2 linked regions of the Diceros bicornis minor genome follow. The protein of the gene in region 2 purifies or fractionates together with the protein of the main gene of each other region. This does not show direct contact. Links are inferred from orthologs where the notes say so. Each region holds a gene or a part of one and is shown on either strand. Other genes may lie near its edges. The genes, in order: DCP1B and USP4.

What was found.
Region 1: the proteins of USP4 (region 2) and DCP1B purify together in Homo sapiens (co-immunoprecipitation; 3 studies listed by BioGRID and IntAct, with this or other methods). This does not show direct contact. The link is inferred for Diceros bicornis minor from reciprocal best matches to the Homo sapiens genes USP4 and DCP1B.

Annotation. Positions count from the first base shown.
Region 1 is NC_080756.1:60,623,018-60,634,935, forward strand, and holds the start of DCP1B (mRNA-decapping enzyme 1B), read right to left. Parts: upstream 5,925-11,918; 5' UTR 5,915-5,924; coding exon 5,765-5,914; intron 5,731-5,764; exon of another isoform or gene 3,446-5,730; coding exon of another isoform or gene 3,428-3,445; intron 988-3,427; exon of another isoform or gene 866-987; intron 1-865. UniProt on the Homo sapiens protein: May play a role in the degradation of mRNAs, both in normal mRNA turnover and in nonsense-mediated mRNA decay. May remove the 7-methyl guanine cap structure from mRNA molecules, yielding a 5'-phosphorylated mRNA fragment and 7m-GDP.
Region 2 is NC_080741.1:50,517,916-50,530,669, forward strand, and holds the start of USP4 (ubiquitin carboxyl-terminal hydrolase 4), read right to left. Parts: upstream 4,628-12,754; 5' UTR 4,466-4,627; coding exon 4,365-4,465; intron 2,174-4,364; coding exon 2,046-2,173; intron 1-2,045.

The sequences.
Region 1 (11,918 bases), on a different chromosome or scaffold from region 2:
CTCTGCCTGACTGTGGCTCTGCGGATTAAGCAGCAGGAAGCAGTCCTTCCCCTTCTGTCATTGACAAAACAAACCATCATTATCTCTCTTTACCAAATACAGGGATAGCAAAACACCTCTGGCTGAAACATAGGAAAATAAATGTGATCCATGGATTTCATTAGAAAGAAGAGATTATAGTAAGTGTGCTGCCTTTTCCTCTATCCTCCAAATTGGGTATATCGCAAGCTGCAGAAATCAGTGGCGTCTGCATTTCATTATCCTTCTCTTTATTTTCTGGGTTCATTTTCTTTTGCTACATCCTGTCACCTAGGAGACCAGATGATTTGCCAATAACTACTTTGACTACTACATAGAATGGAGCAATGATTCTGGACTTTTCAGACAAATTAATTGCTACTTAGTGTGGAATATTTAGAGTCAGGTTCTGATCTTTGAAATAAAGTTAGACAGAAACATAAGCAAGCTAGGACTCAAAAAATCTGCCTGAGAAAAACTAGGGGAAGTGGTAAAGTTAAAATGATAAACCACCATTTCAGTTTATTTAGAAAAGTTCTTTTCCATCTCTCCAAAAGCAGGAGCCCAGGCCCTGATGAAAATGTTCATCAGTATAATGCACATGAAAAAAAATTTAAGTATCCATTTCTTTGATTAACTAGTAATCAGACAATTATAATTCAGAATTTAAAATGTACTTTTGCTACTTACATGGTTTAATTTCAGCACTCTATTTAACGTCTCCAAATTTATTATTACTATCCATTACCAAAATCATTCAAATTTAAGTACTTTGTAATTTTGGTGAAAAATACACTCTTTAAGAACAAAGATGTAATATTAAAATGATAATTTTTAAAAGGCTCACAAAAAATTGGAAGCATGATTCTTTCACATGCTCAAGTAATTGCAGCAGCTTTCCTGGTCACCTTAGTTTAGTGGATCTCAAAGTGTGGTCCCTACATCAGTAGCATCAGCAGCACCTGAAAACTTGTTAGAAATGTACATTCTTGGGCCCCTTCCCAGACCTACTGAATCAGAAACTCGGGGGGGCGGAGGGGGAGTGACCTTTTTTTATTAAGCCATCCAGCTGATTCTGATGTATGCTGTGTGAAAACCACTGCCCTGGTTCAATAACATATTCTCTGCCCATAGAACTATATTAGGAGTCGTGGACAGAAAATCCACTAAGCCCCAAATTATATTAAACATCACCAAACATTGTTTTTTTTTTTTTTTTTTTTTGTGAGGAAGATCAGCCCTGAGCTAACATCCGTGCTAATCCTCCTCTTTTTTGCTGAGGAGGACCGGCTCTGAGTTAACATCTATTGCCAATCCTCCTCCTTTCTTTTCCCCCCAAAGCCCCCGTAGGTAGTTGTATGTATGTCATAGTTGCACATCCTTCTAGTTGCCGTATGTGTTGGGACGCAGCCTCAGCATGGCTGGAGAAGCGGTGCGTCGGTACACGCCCGGGATCCAAACCCGGGCCGGCAGTAGCGGAGCGCGCGCACTTAACCGCTAAGCCACGGGGCCAGCCCCCAAACATTGTTTTTTAAGAGCAAATAGCTATTAAGAGTAAGTTACTTAGTACCAAGATTTTTAATCCTCATTATTATAGAATATGTAATTAGAAATAAAGAATTTACAACAGTTAAAACAATTGTAGCCAGTCTTTTCTCTAATATACAAACATTGCTAAGAAAGTTAGAGTTCATCCTTAAACTGGATTTACTACGAAGTCTGTATAAATCATTTCAATGTACTATGAAAACTATCCTTATTTCTCAAATGTGGCCCATTTGCCACTGTGCTTTGAAAAATACCCTGAATCAAAATGAAAAAACTATACAGAAACATTATTACTTATCTTTCTTTGCAAACAAACACAGTCAATTCCTATCTGTTGAGAAATCTATATCCTGGGTGCACTTTAAACACTAAGAATTACTTAAACCACCACAATCTCAATCATTGAGAAAACGGCCACTACAGTACAATAAATGCTACCCAAACAGTCTAAGAATTTGTGGGCATCCCTTAAGTCTAACTGGTACAGTGGGCAAGTGTATACTAGTCCACAAAGCTTTTAAGAACAAATTTGTAAAAATTAAATATTTGGTATTATCTATTACACTGATAGGAAACTGAAGCCAAGATACAGGTGATGGAACCAGGTCTTAGCACCTATATGCACTGTCAGGATCACCTGCTACAAAGCCAAAACACCTTTCTGTCTTCCAGCATTTGAAACTTGGACTATTTCACCTTAAAGATTCAAATCAGGATGTTTACTTCTATCAGCACACATAGAACTAACAGTTTTTGACTTGTTTCCTTTCTTCCTTGATGAAGTAGTAATAGAAATCACCTTTAAGAAAAAAAGAAAGGACTGCCACATTTTAGTTTTGAAAAATCCAGAATCAGAAATGTAAAAGGCATGCTTTCCTAAGTATTCTTTAACTCACATATCAATTCTTAAAACTGAGATTTTTATATAGTATTACACACAAAAAGCATGAGTTTGTTCATGGAAAGGAATTGTGTTTCAGTGATTACAGTATTGGACCTGAAGTGGGGTTCTTGCCAGCTCATACTGGGCTAGTTTATTATTCTACGTCTCACTTTCTCCACTGAAAAGAGATAACCAGCCTACACCACTCAGATCTTTTGATGAAAAACATTTTTCTCTACAACACCTGGATAAAAGGGACTTTGGAAACATACATTTCTGGTCTATTATGGCTGAAACAGCTCAAATTCATGCATTTTCCTGGTCCCTCCACAGTTATCCAAGGGTAACCAGATTTTTAATTTCTGGGCAAAGCCCAGGGTTCGGGATGTGGGAATTAGCTAAATAAGATTTTATTAGGTCCTCCAAGTAATGACTTTTATGTTAAAGGATTAGTTCTCAGTTCTGGGGGATTTTAGCTTAGATTTTAAAGGTATAATTTAATGATTTAATATTATACTCTATTATAAAATAGAACAAGTGCTAAAAAATTAACTAGTTCAAAATTTAAAATAAAGTGGAATATAAAATAGCGCTAGTTTGCAAATTATGGGGACTCAGCACACAATCTGACACTTGAAACAACTCAAAGCAATTTATATCTTACTGATTATTCTATGTTAATATAATGGAAAAGTAGGTCTCCATTTACCCTTTTAAAATCTGTCTCTGTCGGTCATGTATGTAGCATGTGAGTCACCCAGGAAGCTTTCAACAAGCATCACGTGCCTGGACCTCATATCCAGAGATTTTGATTTGGTGGGTTGCACTTTTTAAAACCCCAAGTGATTCTGATACACAGAAAACTTAGAAAACTACTAGCTAGAAACAACAGGACACTAGTCACTCTACGGCAGGGTTTCTCAAGCTCAGCATTTTTGACATTTGGAGCTAGGTAAATCTTTGTCGTAGAGGCCTGACCTGTACATTGTAGGACATTCAGCATCCCTGGCCTCGACCATCTAGGTGCCAGTAACATGCTCCCTCTCAGTGCGACAACCAAAAACTTTCTCCAGATACTGCCACATGTTGCCTGGAGGAAAAATCAACTCCAGTTAAGAACCACGGCTCTAAGGACTGAGCGGTGAAAATACCACCAGGGTTATATTCTTTAATTGACACATAAGTATTTTGGCAGAGTGGTCTTTCCTGGCAATGGGAAATAGGTCTAGCTCTAAAATTCCTATTCCAGTCGTGACATAATTGTCCTTAATTCTTCCTTAAAGCAGCTCATTTTCTGTCCACCCTTCATTCCTAATTTCTCCTGCTCTGAATGCCTGAAGTCATTCTTCATCTATTTTTAGTGCAATAAGAATTCCCCTCCTTTACATTCCATCTGCCTTCTTGCAAATACTTTCTCTTTCATTCTCAAGAATGTTCTTCACACTTTTATTAGGTTTACGTTCAAAAGGCTCTTCTCCAGAGGCCCTGAGTGATGGCATGTGGAATCGGTGGTGACAATCTGTTTACCCCCAGCAACCACTCTGCAGCTGAACTAGGTCTCTCTCTCTTTTCTGGTTACCACAGCCTTGAAGATTAGTACTTTGAAAGAATGACCTTTTACTGCATGAATTATGCCATGTGAAGGCAACAAGTCCAGGAAGCAGGAAAACATAACTCCTGTAAATGATGAGGCTTAGGAGAAGGGCTTCACTGGGTATCTAATAAACCTCTGTAACTATTTCAACAGGTATCTATCAGATAGATCCTGTCAAAAGCCTACAGGAAACAACTGTTATTCAAGAGGAATGCTCTCCTCTACATGTTAACAATTTCTCAGGATTCTCCAGACTCTAACCCTAGTGTCAAGTCAGTTTACAGAACTACACATTCCTGATCCTTATTTAGTACAGAATTACCTTGACAAAATTATAACACTATGCCTTGGGCATTGTTCTATAGAGCAATATAATAGCTACATGTAGAATATCTTTGTATTTTTCCTAAATTGCTATTGAAGAAATTGTCCACTACATTGCTCAATGTCGTTCATATAAAGACCAAGGTGACAAATTCCTCTGAAAACTAGGGGTAAATACTCTCTTTCCTGATCAAGAGGTATACTTCCTGTTAGAGAACAATGAATATTAAAGAGCTCTCCCTCTTTTCCCTTTTTGCTTGGCTACAAGGAGAGCAGACCTAAATTCCTTGTCCCTTTTCAGTAAATTTCCTCAGTTAAGAACTTAGAGCAAAAATGTTCTGTTCTCTGTTATTTTAGAACCTACTTCTTTATCTTTTTTTGTTAAAGATTTTCAGGTGAATTTTTATTAGACTGCTGAAGATCTATACAAAAGATAAGTACGCCATATAGATGAATGGAGGTGTTAAAAAATATATGAATTTGTTCAATATGGATGTTTTGCTTGCTTCAATTTTGATGTTTCTTACTGTCTTGGAGAACACATTAAAAAATTCTGAAATCCATTCATCCATGCCCAGTTCTTTATACTGTTTTGTAACTTATTTAAAGATGATGGATGGATGGTTATATAACAGACGAATTAATATTATCTGGGGTAAAAGTCACTATGAGGAAAAGAGAAAAAACTACATCTCTACATTCAAGTGGGTGGGTTACAAAATCGCATGTGGTAATTCCTGCAACAGGAGTCAGGTGTCTTACGCTCCTACTCGATTCTAATTGTGAGGAAAACAATTTCATTCCATTGCTATTTATTGACGTTCTGCTTTAAGAAGAGCACCAAAATAACTTGGCTCTCAAATATCAAACTTATTTTGGTCTCGGTGGGCTGCGGTGTTATAATCTTTCCAAGAGCGTCAGTTCCTTCTAAGGTCCCATCTAAGACTGATGTTCCAGAACCAGAACTAACTTTCCTTTGGGCCGTCCCGCATCCCGCCTCCTCTACAGCCCCGTTTCTCTACAGCAGAACCCTGCTTTATTTCCTCGGAGCACAGCAGTCTTCCGGCCTCCCGGCATCGGGTCCTCTCTCTCCTTCAGCTCTCAGGGTCCCGGCCCCGACCGGTCTGCTCTCCCAACGCGGGGTGTCTTAAATATTTAATTAAGTCTGTCCCCAACTTCAGGTGGTTTCACACATCGGCCACCCTCTCCCCCAAACCTCGGGGCCCCGGGGACCAGCTTCCGCAACTTCGGCCTCAGGCCAGCGAGCCACACCGTCCACCTCCGTCCACCTCCAGGTCGTCGGCGTCTCCTCCCTCACCGGGGCCTCCAGCCCCGCGTCGGACGACCCCGTCCCCAGCCCGGCCCTGCCTGCGCGGCCCCGTCGCGTCCGCACGCACCCACTCGTTGGCCCGATGGCCGAAAGTGTACAGAGCCACCTGGCTGGCCACGTCCACGATGCGGTTGATATAGGGGTCGTGGCGCTGCAGGGCCGCCAAGCTGATGTCGCGCCCCTTCCCCACCAGGCCGCCCGCCGCCACAGCCGCCATCTTCCCTCCCTCCCCGACAGCAACACAGGGCGCTCGGAAGCCACTCTCAATTGAGCGCAGAACGAGCGAGCCGCCTCGCCACCGAAAACACGCGGCGACCACAGCCCGGGGACGGCTCCCTCCTGCAGCCGTGCCCCGCCCTCTCCTGCCGCGACGGACGCAAGACAGTACTAATCGATGGCCGCGCTCCCTCCCGCCCACGATCGTTGCCACTGGCAACCAAAAGCCGAGGCTGGAGGTGGGCCTCTCTTTTCCTACCAAGAGCTGTGTTCTTCCTACGTGAGCCTTTGAGCTGCACGCTCGTGGCAGCTCAAGATGTATCTCTTGGATGTGTTCTACGCCTTGGTATGTCTTTCCTTTGGCGCTCGGTGATCAAACCCATAATAATAAATAAGCCTCAAGCATTAATAACTGAAGAGAGAGAACTGTGATTTCTGTGTGCGCTAACACCCAGTGGTTCTTAAAGTGTGGTCCTCGAAACCCCTGGGAGTTCATGAGACCCTTTCAGGGGGTCTGCCAGTTCAAAACCATTTTCATGACAACACTAAGACTTATTTGACTCTTTCGCTGTGTCGACATTTGGACCAATAATGCAAAAACAATGGTGGGATAAAAGCGCAGGTGTCTTAGCATGAATCAAGGCAGAGGCCAGTGTAACTTAAGCAGTAAAAATTATTAATTTTATTAAAGTTCAACACTTTGGCACACTTTTAAAATTCTGTGTGAAAAAACAGGAAGTATGCATAAAACATGTGTGCTGAATACCTAAATGGCGTATTTGTCTCCAGGAAAACCCTTTCGTGCTTGAGTTGCAAGCTGAACTAGTATTTTTATTTTTGTATTCACAGAACACTATTTTTCCTTGAAAGAAGATGGACGCACTATGGTTATTTAGACAGGTGTTTGACAGACATTTTTTCAAAAATAACGTGTACTGGTTACTTCCAAGAAAACAAGGGACAGTTATTGTTGCCAATGATAATTTTTTGAGATTTCAAGCGAGAATTAGAAGTTTAGAAAACACATATCCACTGCCATGAGCTTGACAACTTCTCAATACTTAAAGTCGTTTCTGATGAGATCAGTTGTAATATTAATGAGTGTGATTTAAAAAAATAATTGTATAATGAAAAGTATCAACATTTGAAAGATCTGCTTAACTCAGTGACCCAATATTTTCCAAATGACCAATGTCTGATGTTACATAATCATGCATGGGCAAAGATTCATTCAAGGACTAATGGATTTTAAGGTAGCAGAGTGTGAAAAGTTAATGGATAGGGTTTCAGATAGCACATTGCAACTAACCTTTGAGAAACTACAACTTATCAGGTTTTGATGTATTATCAAAGAAGACTATCCACAACTATCTGAAAAGACTATTAAAATACCCATCCCTTTTCCAACTACATACCTGTTGAGGCCAGAGTTTCTTCATATACTTCAAACAAAACAAATATAGCAATAGATTATAGTAGACACAGTTGTGAGAATCTAGTTGTCTTCTATTAAGCCAGATACTAAAGTGATTTGTAAAAATGTAAACTAATGCCAATTTCTCACTAATTTTTTTGTTTTGGAGAAAATATTATTTTACATAAAAATGTTATTTATATTTACATTTAATTGCTTTATTATTGTTTTTTTAAATGAATGAATATTCTTTCAAGTTATCAGTTTTAATTTGCAATATGGTAAATATTGATAAATATAACTCACATAAACAAAAGCTCTTTGAGGGAGTCCTCAATAATCTTTAATAGTGTAAAGGGGTCTTGAGACTAAGAAGTTGAGAACCATTGACCCAAATCATTTATTTTGTATTGAATATTAGAACAATTGTGCAGAAATACCCACGTTCATGAACTCTTACCATATTTGATATAGAAATATCATAGATATGGCACAGGTAGCCTCTCAAAGCAGTTGCCTAAATAAATTGCAATATAATCTTTGCAGATAGCTTTAATTTTTTTAAATGCTTGGTTCAGCTCCATTTTGGATCTTCAGTCCCAATGACGCCAAGCCTAACTTCCCAGTGGGGGAAAGTACAGCAATGGCTTTCCGACTTTTTTAGATTGGGGCTGCAGCTCACTTGCAGTCTGGCCCAGAGCATACATTATATATCCATATCTGATATTAACTAAAACAAAAGTTTCATGAAACAACAATATTAAGTGATATAGATAGATACACATATATTTACATATGTATATACATACATATCATTTAAAAAATACTGATTGTGACTTCTTAATTGATTTCATGACCATCTAATAGATTATGACCTGCAGTTTGAAAATCATAGGACTACAGCAACTGAGCAACCATACAAAGCTGACTAGACAAATTTGCATGTTAGTTCACTAGCTTGTTTCTAGTATTACTGCACTCTCTTTCCTCTTGATTACATACTACTAAAAACAAGCTTAATCTATCATATGGGCGAGGAGAATTTTGTGATGAACTAGTGTGAGATAATAGAAATGTGTATATATATATGTATACACACACATATATATATGTATGTATTGGTCTGTGTCCCTGGTTCCTGGCACAAAGCTCCTAAACCCCTTGTAATTTCCTAAGTGATAGGAACACTAGGAGCATCTCTTGTTCTAATATTTGTCTCTGACCTGATCTCTGACACAGGGCTCCTAAAACCCTTGTAAATTCCTTAATGATAAGAGCACTAGGAGCGTCTTTTGTTCTAATGAGGTAACTCTGGGTGGGCTACTGGATGGGGGCTGGTCAACAAAAGAGCAAGCCACGATTAGAAGCTTGGGATTTTCAGTTCCATCCCCCCATCCTCCAGAGAGGGGAGAAGGGCTGGAAATTGAGTTAATAATTGATCATGTCTGTGTAAGGAAGCCTTCATAAAATCCCAATAGTAGGGGGTTTGGGGAGCTTCCAGGTGGGTGAACACATACACATACCAAGAGGGTGGTGCCCCCAAACTCCATAAGGACAGAAGCTCCTGTCCTCAGGAGGCTCCCAGACCTCACCCTATGTATCTCTTCATTTGGCTGCTCATTTGTATCCTTTATCATATCCTTTAATAAACTAGTAAGTGTAAGTGTTTCCCTGAGTTCCATGAGCTGCTCTAGCAAATTAATGGAACCCAAGGAGAGGGTCTTTGCAACCTCTGATCTGTAGCCTGTTAGTCAGAAGCACAGGTGATAACCTGGGCTTGTGACTGGTGTCTGAAGGGGGTTGGGGGGTGGGGTGGGCAGGCAGTCTGTGGGACTGAGCCCTTAACCTGTGGGATCTGATGCTGTCTCCTGTAGGTAGTATCAGAATTGAGTTAAGTTGTAGGACACCCAGCTGGTGTCACAGAGAATTGCTTGTTGTGGGGAAAAACTTCCAGACATTTGGTGACCAGAAGTGTCAGAAGTGAAGTGTTCTGTGTGAATAGCAAAGGAGACACACAGGGAAGAAACTCATAATAGGGAAGAACTGAGTTTTTCCCTACACAGGTGGAAAAACTGTAGGTTTTTCCTTTACAATGAGTCTGACTCGCTCACTTGATTAGCTCTGCTAATTTTGATTATTCGGCATGAACCCACAGATTCTACTTTGCATTTGCCTTGCACATAGAATGAGACATTTCTTTTCTTTTCCCCAGCTCTGCCCTTAAGTTCCGTGAGCCTTATACAAGATCATTTTCCTCTTAATTTTTAATCTTTCCATCTTTAAGGTGTAAAGAATAAATCCTGGCCCCCAAATTGCTTTAAGCTCAATAGAGAAAACAGGCAATACAGGGGCCATTATTGTATCTTAAATATTCATAGAGCAAAAATGCCCTCTACCCTGAGTGATCTATATGACCACAATCATAAAGCATTTCTTGACAGGCCACTGGATGAACTTCATTCATTCATTCTTCACCATTTATTGTTGCTTGTCATGTCTGTGCTGAGATTACAGGATCATGTCATCCCCAGTCCCTGATCTCATGCATGATAAGATGAACATACTATTATCCTGCTTATTGCTAGATTCACATATGTGAACACACCAATATGATTCTTAGTAAAGAAGGGTTTGTTTGTTTTTAGGAACTAATGAAGAAAATGACCCATGTCCTGTTTCTACCTTCCTGTATCTGAACTGTTTTCTTCCCAATATCTTACACATTCCCATCTCTGTTCCTTGCCCATTTGTCCCCTGAGCCTGGAATGTCCTTTTCCCAGAAAACTCACCTCCTGCCTCCCTCTCCATACAATCCTTCCTTCCCATGACCTCTCAGTGCCCCCTTGCTGTTTTTCCTGTCATACTTTAACTCAAATTATAGCCATTTATTTAATTATTTAGTTTGTTATATATATTTTTCCCACTTCTAAAAAGGACAAAAAATGAGTCGCTGTAATTAGAAGAGAAAATCTAGGCTGAGAACAGTTATTGCAATTGACAACAAAGTTAGCTTTGAGTTTCTTGACAGATAAGCAAAAAGAGAGAAATAGTAAGTTTCATAATGTTTTATTTTTTTATATACTTGCTTTTCACCCCACTTGTCTCCCTAGCACTTCAATGCCTTGTGCTCAGTAGAGCTTTAGTAGTAAATGCTTATTCTATTGGACTAAACGCTGAGTTAAATTTATTCGTTAAATGTCTTTTTTTTGAGTTCATGATTCAGAGAATACTAAAATCCAAGTCAAGATAAAAGAGCATACAATTGCAAGTCCTGATTTTTCAGAGTTTGCAGTCTAAGGAAGATAGGAAAAAATGGAAAGGGTTTTTTTTAACTTTACACATTGTAGAGAAAAAAAAAAAAGAAAGAAAGAAAAGGGAAAAAACCTTGAAGGTGAGAAATCCTGCTCAGAAAAAAAGAGACACAATGTTGCAGTGACTTCAGAATTGCCAGGTTGTTCATCTCCCTGGTTCACAGAGTTTTCTTTTTTTAGCTCTGTTTTCCCAAATTTTTAAAGTTCTGTCCTTCTAGGATGAAGCCAGACTTCTGCCTACTTTTTACTTGAATAATCTGTGTTTGCAGAGCCAGGTCATCATCCCTTACCCAAGTATACTAAGTTGCAGGCTCTATATATCTAAAAGATCATTTAAAATAGGCAGATTCGTTTTTAAGCCATATAACTTCAACTTCCATTGGCTTCCACAGTGCTGGCATACTTCCACTGTGCTTTCAGAAGCCTCAAATATTGGTGACTTCGGGTTTCATGATTATTTTATAATTGTCATTATGAGATTAAATATGTGCTAACACTTGTTATTATAAAGGTATATACCACAATTTAAAACAAATTTGTAGTATGATAAAAAAAATAGTGTCTGGATCTGGGATTTTTATACCATTGCAATGGCTAAGGTAAAATGCACCACCTAATCTAATCAAGGTAATTGTAAGAACATAGGATGTTTAAATTTTTTGAAAATAGGGATATAACTGAAAAATGTGTGGTTTTGTAGCCACGTGTATACAAATATAAAGTGACTTTTTATAGCATAATAATCCAGAAACATAAATACACAGTCTGCTTTATTAGTGGTCTTGTCTTGACCGTGTAAATAAGCTTTAAATTTTGCACTTGTGCTGGAGTAGGCTGTGTTGGAATGGAGGGGAAAGAGGAGCTTCCAGGATGCCCCCTGATAGTTTGTGATCCTAAAATGTCCTAAACAGCCTCTGATGCTCTGCTTGTGCTGCCTGTATGAATTGCCCTTTTTTCCTAGGAATTTTACGCTAAAGAATGACAGAAGTGAAAAATTAATGCCCTCTTTCTCCCAGTGAAGGAAAACAGTTTGAAGCCGTGTGTTATCAGTTGTTTTCAATGCATGGTTCATTTCTTTTTTAAGCAGCAGAGCACAGTGGAAAGGGCACCCCCTGGAAGGGGAAACTAGTTTAACCCTCTTTTTATCTATGTGACATTCAACGAGTGACCTCACTCATAACTTGGGGATCATAATATCTGCCCTACCAATTTCACGGGGTAAATAAGATCAAGTGAGAAAACGTACCTGAAAAAGATTTGCAATCTGTAAAATGTTCTGC
Region 2 (12,754 bases):
AACATCAGTTCTACAGGCGTCTTCCCCCTCCGAGGCTCAGTGACAATTTTCCCCAACATGTCATTCTTATGACACTATAGTGCAAATGCAGGAAACTTAACTAGAATTTTCAATGCAGTTCACTATTTTCACTTAAAACTGGACAGTCCAAGAGCATCATGCTAAACATCACACAAGGGTTTTGAAAATTTCTTCAACAGAGAGGCAAATAAAGGGAGAAAAGGAGTGCACAGCTTGGTCTAAGCGTAGGGATTCCATGTGATATAGAGTAGGGACAGAGGTGTAAATGAGAGAAGGGGTGCTCTACAGACAACATCAGCAAGGATACGCTCTAACTTCTCCTTCCCACACTTTTTTTTTCTCCCCCCCAAAGCCCCAGTAGATAGTTGTATGTCACAGCTGCACATCCTTCTAGTTGCTGTATGTGGGACACGGCCTCAGCATGGCTGGAGAAGCAGTGCGTCGGTGCGCGCCCGGGATCCGAACCCCAGCCGCCAGCAGCAGAGCGTGCACACTTAACCGCTAAGCCACAGGGCCGGCCCTTCTTCCCACACATTCAAGAGCCCCCTCCAGGCCACCCTCATGACCCTAGGTGGAAGGCAGCCAGACTGGGACTGGCAAGTGACTGAGAGCCTGGGAATTAAGGGAGTGACACTCATTCGCCAGAGAGAGGTCATTCCTCTACTGTCAATGTTTCAGGGTCTGAACGGAATGTACTTCTCACTTCCCAAGCACACAGCAAATGTTTCAAGACAAAGCCAGGTGACATCAAATTGGGGGACTAGTGAAGGAATGCTTGCCCTTAGCTGAAGGTCATGCAAAATTACTGCAGAGGGCCCCTCCAGCTCTAGGATTCTCATCACTATTACTATTAAAAATCAAGAATTCTCCTTTGCAGCAAAAAAAAAAAGGGAAAAGGACAAAGCACAAACATAATGCAACGATCCCTTGGGACAACTCCATGGTGTAATGCCATCATCTGACCTACATCAATAAACAAAGCATATGACATTGTTTATTGCGTCATTTAAAAGATCTCCCCTAAAACAAGGTCTGAGCTGAAGTGTTGCTCATTTTCAAAAACACCCAGGTTCGGGTCGGCCCCGGGGCTTAGCGGTTAAGTGCGCACGCTCCGCTGCTGGAGGCCTGGGTTTGGATCCCGGGCACGCACCGACGCACCGCTTCTCCAGCCATGCTGAGGCTGCATCCCACATACAGCAACTAGAAGGATGTGCAGCTATGACATACAACTATCTACTGGGGCTTTGGGGGAAAAAATAAATAAATAAAATTAAAAAAAAAAACCCAAAAAACAAAAAAACACCCAGGTTAGTGTTAGGTACTTGGATCAAGTCTCACGCATTGTCTGCCTTCCTGCTGCCCTGATTTTGGGCACAGGCAACAGATCACCTCTGTCCTGCTTACGAGGGAGTCTAAAGACAGGCAGAATAAAGCCTAGGAAAGGCTCATCATCATCTCTGCATTTACAGGGGCAAGTCAAACTCAGGTGCGTCATACGAGTTTTTCAATCACTTCCTCCATTGGGAGCTGACTATAATCATAGCTCTACTGACCTTCCACCTCTCCTCACACTACTTCTATAACAAACATAGCCATCACAGGAACGCTTGATGAATGTCGACAGGTCTACAATTTGTTACACTGCAAAGGTAACACAGAAAATTCTGGTTCCCAACTTTCAGATTCCAGATGCAATTTCAAAATGATATCCTATTTCTTTTCATTCCACAGACTAATCTAAAATCTGAAATCTCTAGCAGAATTAATTTGCAAAAAAAAGAGAGAGAGAGAGAGATTTAAAATGCTAGAAGCATGCTCTTGTTAGAAGCCTTTAATTTAGGAAAAAATTAACTTCTCCCTGAGGGTCTGCAAAGACTTCTGCTATAGACACAAATCGAGGACACTTGTTTCTATCCCCTCACAGTTGGAAAGTCAGGTTCACAATGTCCATGTTACAGATAAACACAACCACAGGTCATTGCCCAGGTGGACATTTCAGTTAGAAAAGCAATAGGATACCACACCTGAAAAGAGTCCGGAGTTATCTATTGGGCCAGGAAACAAGTTGTGTTCACCCACATTGTACATATCCCAGCTGTCAAAGCCCACGTACTTCTTCCACTGCTTGAACCACCGGCTGTCAACAAGATACCTAGAGACAGACAAAAATTTACTATTCCAGAAAAGCTGAGGTTGTAAGTTTCTGCAGCTGCTCCCTTAATATTTTTATGGTCTTTTCACTTGGGGAACAAGCAATACCTACTGAAAGACACACTCGGCAAAGCAGGAGCAGGGCCAGGAACCACATGGCACAGAGAGCCATGATCCAGGGCAGGCATCCATTAAATGAAACGATTGTTGAAAGAATGAATAAATGAAAGGAAGGCAATGACTGGCTTCAAAATGCTTATTTAAAGGAAGTCTTTCTATAGGTAAAATCTTGTTTGCTAATGACCAAGTCATTAATTTCATTTTTTTTAATTTTGTTTTTTTTATGGCAGTAACATTGGTTTATAACATTGTCAAGTCGTTAATTTCCTAATGATCTTTACAGAGGTCCTTGTCCAGGTAGACAGTTTGATTACACTGCTCTGCCTGATGTGAACAGCATTAAACTAATTTTATTTCTGAAAATGGGATAACAACATCCCACACTTCAGTTTTCCTTTGAGGACCAAACAAGATAAAAAATGTGTGTGAGTATATGTATGTAAATATATGTACATATATACATACACACACATATACGTGCATATACACACACACACACACATATATATACACAATATTGTCTAGGTATGTCTATCTTGTCAAAAAGCATCAAGTTGATCTGGTTATATTTTAAAAGTATCACTATGCTGTTTTACAATTAAGATAGAAGAAGGGAAACCTTGGCTGGCCCCGTGGTTTAGCGGTTAAGTGCACGCGCTCCGCTGCTCACGGCCCGGGTTCGGATCCCGGGCGAGCACCGACGCACCACTTCTCCGGCCATGCTGAGGCCTCGTCCCACATACAGCAACTAGAAGGATGTGCAGCTATGACATACAACTATCTACTGGGGCTTTGGGGGGAATAAATAAATAAATAAATAAATAAATCTTTAAAAGAAGAAGGGAAAACTCTGTGGGGGAACAAAGGACAACAACTATATTGGTGAGTCTTTCAAATTTTATAACCAACAAACTTCAGAGGATATCAGGCAGCTTCCCAAAGGCCACAAGGATTCATAAACACATCCAAATCTTTAGAATGCTCTTTTCCCTCCAAACCCCTTGAACAATACACTCCAAACACTTTTGGTGTGTGATTTTAGTCTATTCCAAACTTCCTCTGCTTCTGCTGAGTATCCTTCATACATCACTCCTATGCAGGATAACTTCTAAAAGCACCTCTGATTGCCCTGCCTTTCACGGTTCGGCTAGCTCAAGAACACTGTAAAGCTCTATTCGAATTTCTCCTGATCTCAATGTTTCTCTTCCCTGCTCAATGTATCTCAACTCTTAACCCCAATGTCTCTCTTCACTGCTCAATTCCTCTGTCATTATAAGAGCCATGACCAACACCACCACAGTTTCTTAAAGAGGGATGCTCAATCACATTCAATGCAAAGCCAACCCCCAGTTTTCTACTCCCACACAATAATACCAGGAATCTCTTCACTACTGGAAATACTGTCCTTTCTACTAAACAATTTATTAAGAAACCTGGTCTCCGACTTGCTCTTCTAAACCCTAAATTTTTAATCTTTTTTATCTAGGCTGTAGGCTACCTTACTTTCCCACTTCGAAATGCTGCTGCCACAATTATTTTTGACATTTGCTACCAAATAACCTGGGGCTCTCAGACATTTGTTCAGCTTCTGACCTTGACATCTATTCGGCAGTTTATAAGTTACAAAGTATGTACTTCTGATCTTCGCCTCAACCCACTGAGGGCGGAGGGCCAAATATTGCTACCCTGGTTTTAACAGTAAGGAACGGGGATCTATGAGGTGTTGATGCCTTTGCCCAAGGTCACGCGGCAAGTCCTGGTAGGTAAAAGGCTCTTCCTATCCTGCAAGTCCCCGTGAGCACTCCCCTTCTGTTCAACCTGCAGCCCTTGCCCCCGCTGGGTCCGCGCCCTGGGGCTCGGTATGGGCCGGGACGACCCTCAGCTCCGCCCACGCTTTCCCAGAGGTGACCCCGGGGTCCTTCTCCTGAGAGGCGGGGGTCACGTCACTCTCTCAGGGTCACTAACATCGCCTCCAGCCGGCCCCTACCCAAGCCGAGAAAGAGGGGCTTAGCCTGAGCGCCAGAGCCCCGGTCCCTGGCCCTGGCCGGGCGAAAGGGGGGCCTGGCACTCACCACTGCGCCCCTCGTTGGAGAGTGGTCCTCATCAAGGCCCCGAGCTCGGATTTCTGGGTCTCCGCATCCGGTCGCTCACCGCAGCCTCCGCCTTCCGCCATCTCGTCCGCTGCCCCGGCCCAGCCGGCCCGGACATCCGCCTAGCGCACGGCGTGCTGTGGGCCGCTCCCACCTACGCACGCACGCAAGCGCGTGCGCGCGCCAAAGGGCACCCCGCTCCGCGGCCTTGAGCGCTTGCTTGGCTTTGCCTTTTCTTGCCGCCGTTTGCGCGCCGCGCCTATTCTGCCGGTACGTGGTGGAGCAGGGAGGGAACCGGAAGAGGAGGCGGGCGCCGGGGAAGAAGCCGCCGCTTCCTTCCGTTCTGCAGGCCTCACCTTGGGGCGGGAGTGTGGTGCCCCTCGACCCTCGGGTATCCAGTCCTGGCCTGCGGGGTTATTCTGTTCTTAAATAAGCGCAGCAACCGGTGTGAAAAGCCCTGGAACTATATTTTCTTGTAGTCATTCCTGCCATTCCGCTTTCAGCAGAGACCTTAGGCGAGTCCTTAACTGCACAAAAGTAGGATCGAGGTTCCTGTCCTGGAGGCCCTACAGGGATTTCGGGGAGTGCCTGGTGCACCAGCGCCTTGGGACCGGGACTCGACGGTGTGGTCTAGTCGTTAACAATCGTTCCAAACACTCTGGACGCCAGAATCACCTTGCCCACGGCAGAATTCCACAAGCCGTCCACAGTGAGCTAGCTACTTGCCTTGTCAGGGAGACAGGCAGCCGCAGAGGGTCCATAGCAACGGGGGAAGGAGAGGTCCAGGTGTGTTCTCCACATTAGGTGCCCAGGCTGCTTCTTAATTTGTTGCCGCAACAAGGTACAATGTCCTGAACACTGTATGTTTTCTACTTGACCCTGCATATAAAAAACACAGCCCTCCTCCTGGACGGGTAAGTAAGCCCAGAGCAAGGAGGATGCCAAGCAGCTGGTCTACGCCAGTCTCCGTTCACTTGCCTAGCAGTTCCGGCCCTCAGAGAAAAATAAGACCTAATACCTGCACTTATACAGTCTAATAGAGGAGAAGAAATCTTCCGCAAATAACCCCAGTGCCAAGCAGTGTGTGGTAAGTGCCGTTAAGGGATATGAACCCTTGAGGGGCCGGCCCGGTGGCGCAAGCGGTTAAGTGCTGGCTCTCTGCTGCGGTGGCCCGCGGTTTCCCGGTTCGGATCCCGGGCGCGCACCGACGCACCGCTTGGCAAGCCATGCTGTGGCGGTGGTGGCGTCCCCTATAAAGTGGAGGAAGATGAGCAGGGATGTTAGCCCGCACCGACGCACCGCTTGGCAAGCCATGCTGTGGCGGTGGTGGCATCCCCTATAAAGTGGAGGAAGATGAGCAGGGATGTTAGCCCAGGGCCAGTCTTCCTCAGCAAAAAAAGAAGATGATTGGCAGATGTTAGCATAGGTCTGATCTTCCTCACACACACAAAAAAAGGATATGAACCAAAGACTAGGTCCAGAGCTGTGAAATGGAGCCTTTGACTTGAGTAGCATTTGAGTGTGGTCTTGAAGAAAGTGTAGAAATGATGGTGCATGTTACAGGAGGAGAGACTAGAGGGGTCGTCCCCTATAAAGTGGAGGAAGATGAGCAGGGATGTTAGCCCAGGGCCAGTCTTCCTCAGCAAAAAAAGAAGATGATTGGCAGATGTTAGCATAGGTCTGATCTTCCTCACACACACAAAAAAAGGATATGAACCAAAGACTAGGTCCAGAGCTGTGAAAGGGAGCCTTTGACTTGAGTAGCATTTGAGTGTGGTCTTGAAGAAAGTGTAGAAATGATGGTGCATGTTACAGGAGGAGAGACTAGAGGGGTCGGAGACAATTTCTGAAACAGGCGGGGCAGAATCAAAGAGTGAGCATTAGGCCAGTTGAGCTGGGATCAGACTACTGAAAAAGCCTGAGATCTAAAGATAGAAAGGAGGCTGGAGGGGCCACATGTCTTGCCTTAAATGGCCCACAGATATTGTAGGAAATTTTGGAGCAGAGACAAAATGGCTGAGGGTGCTTTACACCCACAGTGGTATAGCCCAGAGACCTATTAGTAGCATTTCACTGGAGAGGTAGCTATGAGGGAGGAGAGAAGAAACAGGAGACCGTGTTCAGTGTTAGGGATGGAGGACGGAGAGCTGGCCTGGTGAAGGTGTGGTAGGTCATTTGAATAGATTTACAATTTTTATGTTGGGTTTTGGCTAATTTCGATTAATTTGCACACCCTGGGACATCCATCACACACCATCTGGTAACAGACACCTGTTGGCAGTTGGGTAGGTAGCAAGGGATAATGAGTTTGGAGTTGAAACTGCCTTGAATGACCATGTAGCAATTAATCCCCTGCAGATAAGTTATAATCATGTGATAATTCTACATCTGGGGAGCCAACCCTGACAAGTGCCCTTCTGTGAAAGCTCTTTGAAATTGTTAAAAATGTTGTCAAATGAGAAACACTACCGTTAGTCCTGTTATTTATGGAAAAAGAAAGTTGGGTTACCGACATTACTTCAGAACCTACATTAGAGGGTATCTGCTTCCCTTTTCTTTTTTTTTTTTTTTTAGCAGTTTCTCCCTACCATTTATGGCATGGGTCAGAGTCTTAAGGAAGTAGAAGTACGACAAGTACTCAGCACCACTAGAAAGAGGGACAAAACCTAATTATAAAAATGAAAAAAAAAGAAAACTTTGGAAAATCTTTTTAAGCCTGGATCTCTTCAGTGCTGTTAAATAGCTATAAAAATAGTGCACCAATTATGAGTAGCTCCTAAAAATTTGTATTAAGATTACAAAGTGCCACTAGTTAAAACGCAAGGAATAAAGTGAAACTTTATAGTCGGAAGATCAGCATTATTTCCAGTTTTAAAACTTTTTTAGTGAGTTTCATTCATTTAGTGAGTTAAAAATTGAGAACTAGAAACAACGAACATCTTTCTGTGTTCCCACTATTATGGGAGTGACCTGCGGATTTGGCAGGAAATGAATTCAATGATTCAGCTCTGGAGACACCCTGGCCCCAGGGCTGTGATCTCTGGCCATTTACCCTAGGAAGAGGTGCAGGCCTAGTAGAGCACTCACTTTGCCCCATCACCAAACCCCAGAACTGAACAACCCACCCGTTGCCATGGGATTTTGGGCCACAAGAACAGGAAAGAACGCAGGAAGGGATATAGAGGGAACAGGCCTGGCTGATTGATCACATACTGCTTGATCTTGGACTGTGATGATCTAATTGAGGGTTTGTAATGTCTGGATCTGTGAACTTCAAGCTTTACTTTGTTCCAAGTTATAAAATTCTTGCCTTGACTGGTACTATGGCTTGCTCTACACCTGACTGGAGTTGGCCCTCCCAAGTCACCCTTGGTCCACATTTGGCCAGCAGAAACAGAGCACATGTGACAGGAGTCACAAATATTGGGCACCTTTTGATTAAAGGTGGCATCAGGAGAGAAATATTTTTGTTTTGTTCTTGCCTGTGCTTCGTTAACCTGCCCAGGAGACTGTGAAAAAGTAAAAAGCTCTAGAAGTACATTTTGAAAGAATTAAACGTCTCATCCGTGACATTATAACCTCTGTTATATAAGGATTAGGTTACTGAGGAAGGTGACAAAGGCAAAAACCTGAACCAATCTCACAGAGTGGAAGTGGAATCAACTTTCCTATGTTGGAAACTCATACCGTTGGACAGATTCCATTCTGGTTATGCCACTGTTGGTGGCCAGCCCTGACTGGGCAGGGAGAGCATGGCACCCTGGGCCCAGGTGTGGCTAGTGTCTTCTCTTCCTCCTCTAATTCTGTTACCATCAATGTCTTAACCATAAACAAGTATTTAGATGTTAATTATGCATGTTCGCCCTTTGCACACAGCAGATTCTCAGTAAGCATTTCTTGGATGAATGAATGAAAGAACTATCCAGATACTAGTCATTTTTTCATTTGACTAATAACCTGTTATATGCTCATAGTCCCTACCCTCCAGGGGTTCACAGCCAATGTGGTTGGGGAAGATGTTTTCACATGTAATTACAGTGTTCTATGTTGTGTGATAAAAGTGCTATAGGAACATGGAAGGTGATGCTGCAGACCTTTGCTGGGAAGGAAACTTAAGCAACTGGTGTAGGGAGCAAAGGCATGCTTTGCTTAACATTCCCTTTGGCTTGCCTCTGGGAATGCATGATGAGTCTGCAAAGGAATGCTCAGGGAACCAGGGCTTCTTTAGATTCACCTACACATACACAGACATAGTCACATGCTAGAGACAGAGGAGGCTGGGTTAACAGGTGTTTCCTTTGCAGGGAGACTCCGATCCCCTCCACTTGCCTCCCTGTGGAGCCAGGTGGTCTGCAAGACTGTAGGACACCACCCACAGTGGTCTGCACATGCCCCTGGATACTGCTCAGACTCTAGGCATTTGGATAAATTGGGCCTGTTTTGTGGTCTCTTGCCCTGGCCTTGCTGGCCACAGCTTACACTAGACCTGGGTGGAGTTTCTGTCTGCAGGATGAATGATGGAAAGGCTGCTGGGCCCCTGCCCAGCACATCACCATCATGTCATGTCAATCTCAATGCTTCTGGATGCAACTAACAGAATACCCACCAGCAAGTGGCCTACCTAGATGGTGATTTTTGTTTTTATTTTCTCACCTGACAAGTCTAGAATTGAGTTCTTGGGTAGGTCAAAGCTGAAGGATATCAGGGCTCAGAGTTTCCTTCTCTGTTACCCCCAGGGCCAGGGCCCGTGAGACTTCTCTCATTTGTGCTCTCAGCTCCTGATCCAGTAGTGCCTGATGCGAGGCATGTGTCCAGTAACTTGTTGACCAGCTCGAGCTGGGCTTTATTTTAATGCCAGCCACATTTATGTTAGTGTGTGAAAGCATGCTCTTCCAGCCTGCTTGGTGATTGTAATAACAAAAACCTGCCAAATTCAGAGTTCTCTGACAGGGATCCCTGCCCATTCTTTTTTTATTATTATTTTATTTTTTTCCCCCAAAGCCCCAGTAGATAGTTGTATGTCATAGCTGCACATCCTTCCAGCTGCTGTATGTGGGACGTGGCCTCAGCATAGCCAGACAAGCAGTGTGTCAGTGCTTGCCCGGGATCTGAACCTGGGTCGCCAGCAGCCTGCCCATTCTTTATAAATCCATGCTGTGTTCTCTTGGGGAAATCTTTAGCCAGTATTTTTTATTCAGTATTATACAAAAGTTAAAACTTATAAGATTTGGGCCGGCCCCGTGGCTTAGCGGTTAAGTGCGCGTGCTCCGCCACTGGCGGCCCGGGTTCGGATCCTGGGCGCGCACCAACACACCGCTTCTCCGGCCATGCTGAGGCCGCGTCCCACATACAGCAACTAGAAGGATGTGCAGCTATGACATACAACTATCTACTGGGGCTTTGAGGGGAAAAATAAATAAAATCTTTAAAAAAAAAACTTATAAGATTTATTAGGGTGATCGGGCCAGGAATGCTTCTCTGAAAATAAAGTTGCTTTAAATGTTGTTTGTGGAACTACATTGAGACAGAATAGGGAAGTCATCTGATAAAGGGCTAATTGCGCAAGAAGAGCCTGACCAAATTTTATCAGATTTTTTTTTCAGCTTTACTGAGGTATAATTGGCAAATAAAATTATAAAATATTTAAAGTGTACATCGTGGTTATTTGATATAGGTATACATAGTTTTATCAGATTTAATGTTTGAAAAAAACAAAAACAAAAGGAAAAAACCAGCATTTCTGGAAGAACTGCTAAAATGGAAGCATCTGGACCTAGCTGAATAACAGTAGGGCCCATCCCTTTCTCAGAAGGCCTGTAGCTGAAATGCTGCTGCCTGCTCCCAGATCAAGCAGTGTCCTGCAGCCACTTCTTCCAAAGGCTAGGGCCTCAGGGAGGCTCACTAGGATTCTTTCACTTTTACTTGTTCATTTGAGCTGCTGATTCACTATGGGGTGGGGTGGGTGCAGGTCAGAGCCAGTAGCAGTTACATGGTTGAATGATAAAGAATGTGTATGTGTGGGAGTGTGTTTCTGTGTGTGTTTGTATGTGTTGGGGGAAGAAACCCAGTTTCTTGGGGAGGAAGATGAAGTGTTAACTGGCTTTATTCTGAGTCTTCCTGAAGAAGAGAGAGTTGGAAAGGACTTTCAGTTAAGGGAGGCAGGCAGCTTGAAGTCTGAGAAGGAGTATTCACCAGCCAGGGTCAGCCACATTGGGAGCTCAGAAGTTCCCTTCCCTGGCAGCCCAAGGCATAAACTAAGAGTGGGTGAGGAGGGCTGAGTCACTAGGCAGCCTGGGGGAAAGAGGTTGGAGTCAGTTTGGAAAGCCCTGGGTTCCTATGCTGGAGTCTAACCAGAGCGTGGCCTGGGCCACACTGACCTTTTACAGGAGAGTTGGAGCAGAAAGTCTCTCTTCATGGTTCAGCTGTAGGTCACTGAGTAGAACTCTAAGTCCCCAGACTTTCCAAATAAGCATCTCTGGAGGTGGGCCGTGGAACATAGGTTTGAACAAGCACCCAGGTGATTCTTGGGCACTATATGTTTAGCTCCTAGAACGGGACCTGGTACATCACTGGCACTTGGCTATCTGGCTTCAGCTCCAGCTGCCCCCCTGAAACTGCACTTGCTGGGGAACACTTAATCCACAAGCACTTGTCCCAGCTAACTATTCTTTATGAATGTCCCTTCCCTCAGCTCCTTGACGCCGTCCTTGTTCCTTCCAACTGTGCCTCTCTGCCACCTGACCCAGAATAATTATGAATCCATAGGCTTCAGGTCTAGGTCCCCTGATCTTTTTCTTGCCACTCTCCCCAGGTGACCTTATTCTCTCCAATGGTTACTTACTGCCCCTTTGGCTAGACCTTTGTCTCCAACCCATACTCTTTTCCTGAGCCTGTTGTAACCACCTGCTCTAGATATCTTCATCTGGATGTCTCATGCACCACATCTGAATCTGAACACATCCCCTTCTCCCCAAATCTGCTCCTGCTTGTGTTGTGCAACTGTCAATGATGCCACCTTCCCACTTCAGGCCCTCACACACTGTAACCTCTGCCTGTCCACCCTCCACCAGTTTGTTCTTGGGTAACTGCTTCTTGACCTCTCTTCAGCTTCACTGTCACTTCCTCCAGGAGGCAAGCATGATCCTCCCTACTGGGCCAGGCCCTCATATATTATCAAAGTACCCTGTACTACCTCATAGAACTAAACAAACATGCTTTTGGTAATTATATATTGTCTTTCTGCCTTCCTGAGGTCTGTATTCCTGGCACGCAGCAGAGCACATGGCACAGGACTGAATGATGAGTGTTCCAGTAAGGGAGCAAAGGGCTTTTAGGGAAGAAATGTAGGCTTTAAGGAGGTTACAGATGGCCTGGGTATACCCAGATATATCCAGATGTATAGGTTGCTATTATTCATTCCAGGAGTCAGATTTGGAGTCTACAAACGATCCTCAAAGAGCCCTGGCTCTGTTTGAGTGGAAAGTTTTTCACTTTATATTAATTGACAGACATTTGCTGATGCATGTCATATGCCAGGCCCTGTGGGCCCTGAGGAGATGGGTAGCCCCAGGCCACCTCCTAGACTCTCCCTCTCTGGGGAAGCAGACCAGTCACTCATAGATGCAATCAAGACTCCTGAGTTCTGAGAGGAGCACAGGTAGGGTGGGTACACAGGGGTCCAAAGGGGAAAAAGACAGCTCTGCCTTGGTCACCTCAGAGGGGACTAAAAAGCTGAGGTGGAGAGGCATTGTAGCCAGAGGGAGGTGAGCCTGTACAGAACTTCTGATGATGGAGAGAGGGAGCCAGAACAGGTGCAGAGGGCCCGTCATCCCTTAATGACCTAAAGGCAGACAGAAGGTGAGGGCGGAAGCAGCAAAGATTCCTGCTTAGAGCTAGAGGAAAAGTTCTTGCGAGCTGGTTAAGACACAGAAGGGACTTGAGCTACCAATTTGAGCATGAATGCTGAGACCCCAGAACCTTTGGCCCACATTCTGCACTGGGTGACAGTGCCAACATGTATCTGGGTTCTTATCTGCCTAAGCAGAAGCTGCATCCAAGCCCTGCAGAGTCCCTTGTACTGTGATAGGAAGGCTCCAGTTCTGTCTCGAAAGATTATTGACAGTAGGGCCAACAGATAGAGAGGTTGCACCTGAGCCACGCCTGAGACGCAGCAGCTGGCCTCCAAGATATGTTCCTACCCTGAACCTGATCACACAGTTCCCACTGTTAAGTATCGCTCAGGGCATGGTCAGAAGTGCCAGTTGTATACTCTTTGCAAAGTAATGGGAAAAGAATTTGTAACATTGCATGAGCTTCCAACTGTGTAAAATGGGCTTGTGTGGGCCTAACACTTGGAGAGGCCACAGACTGAG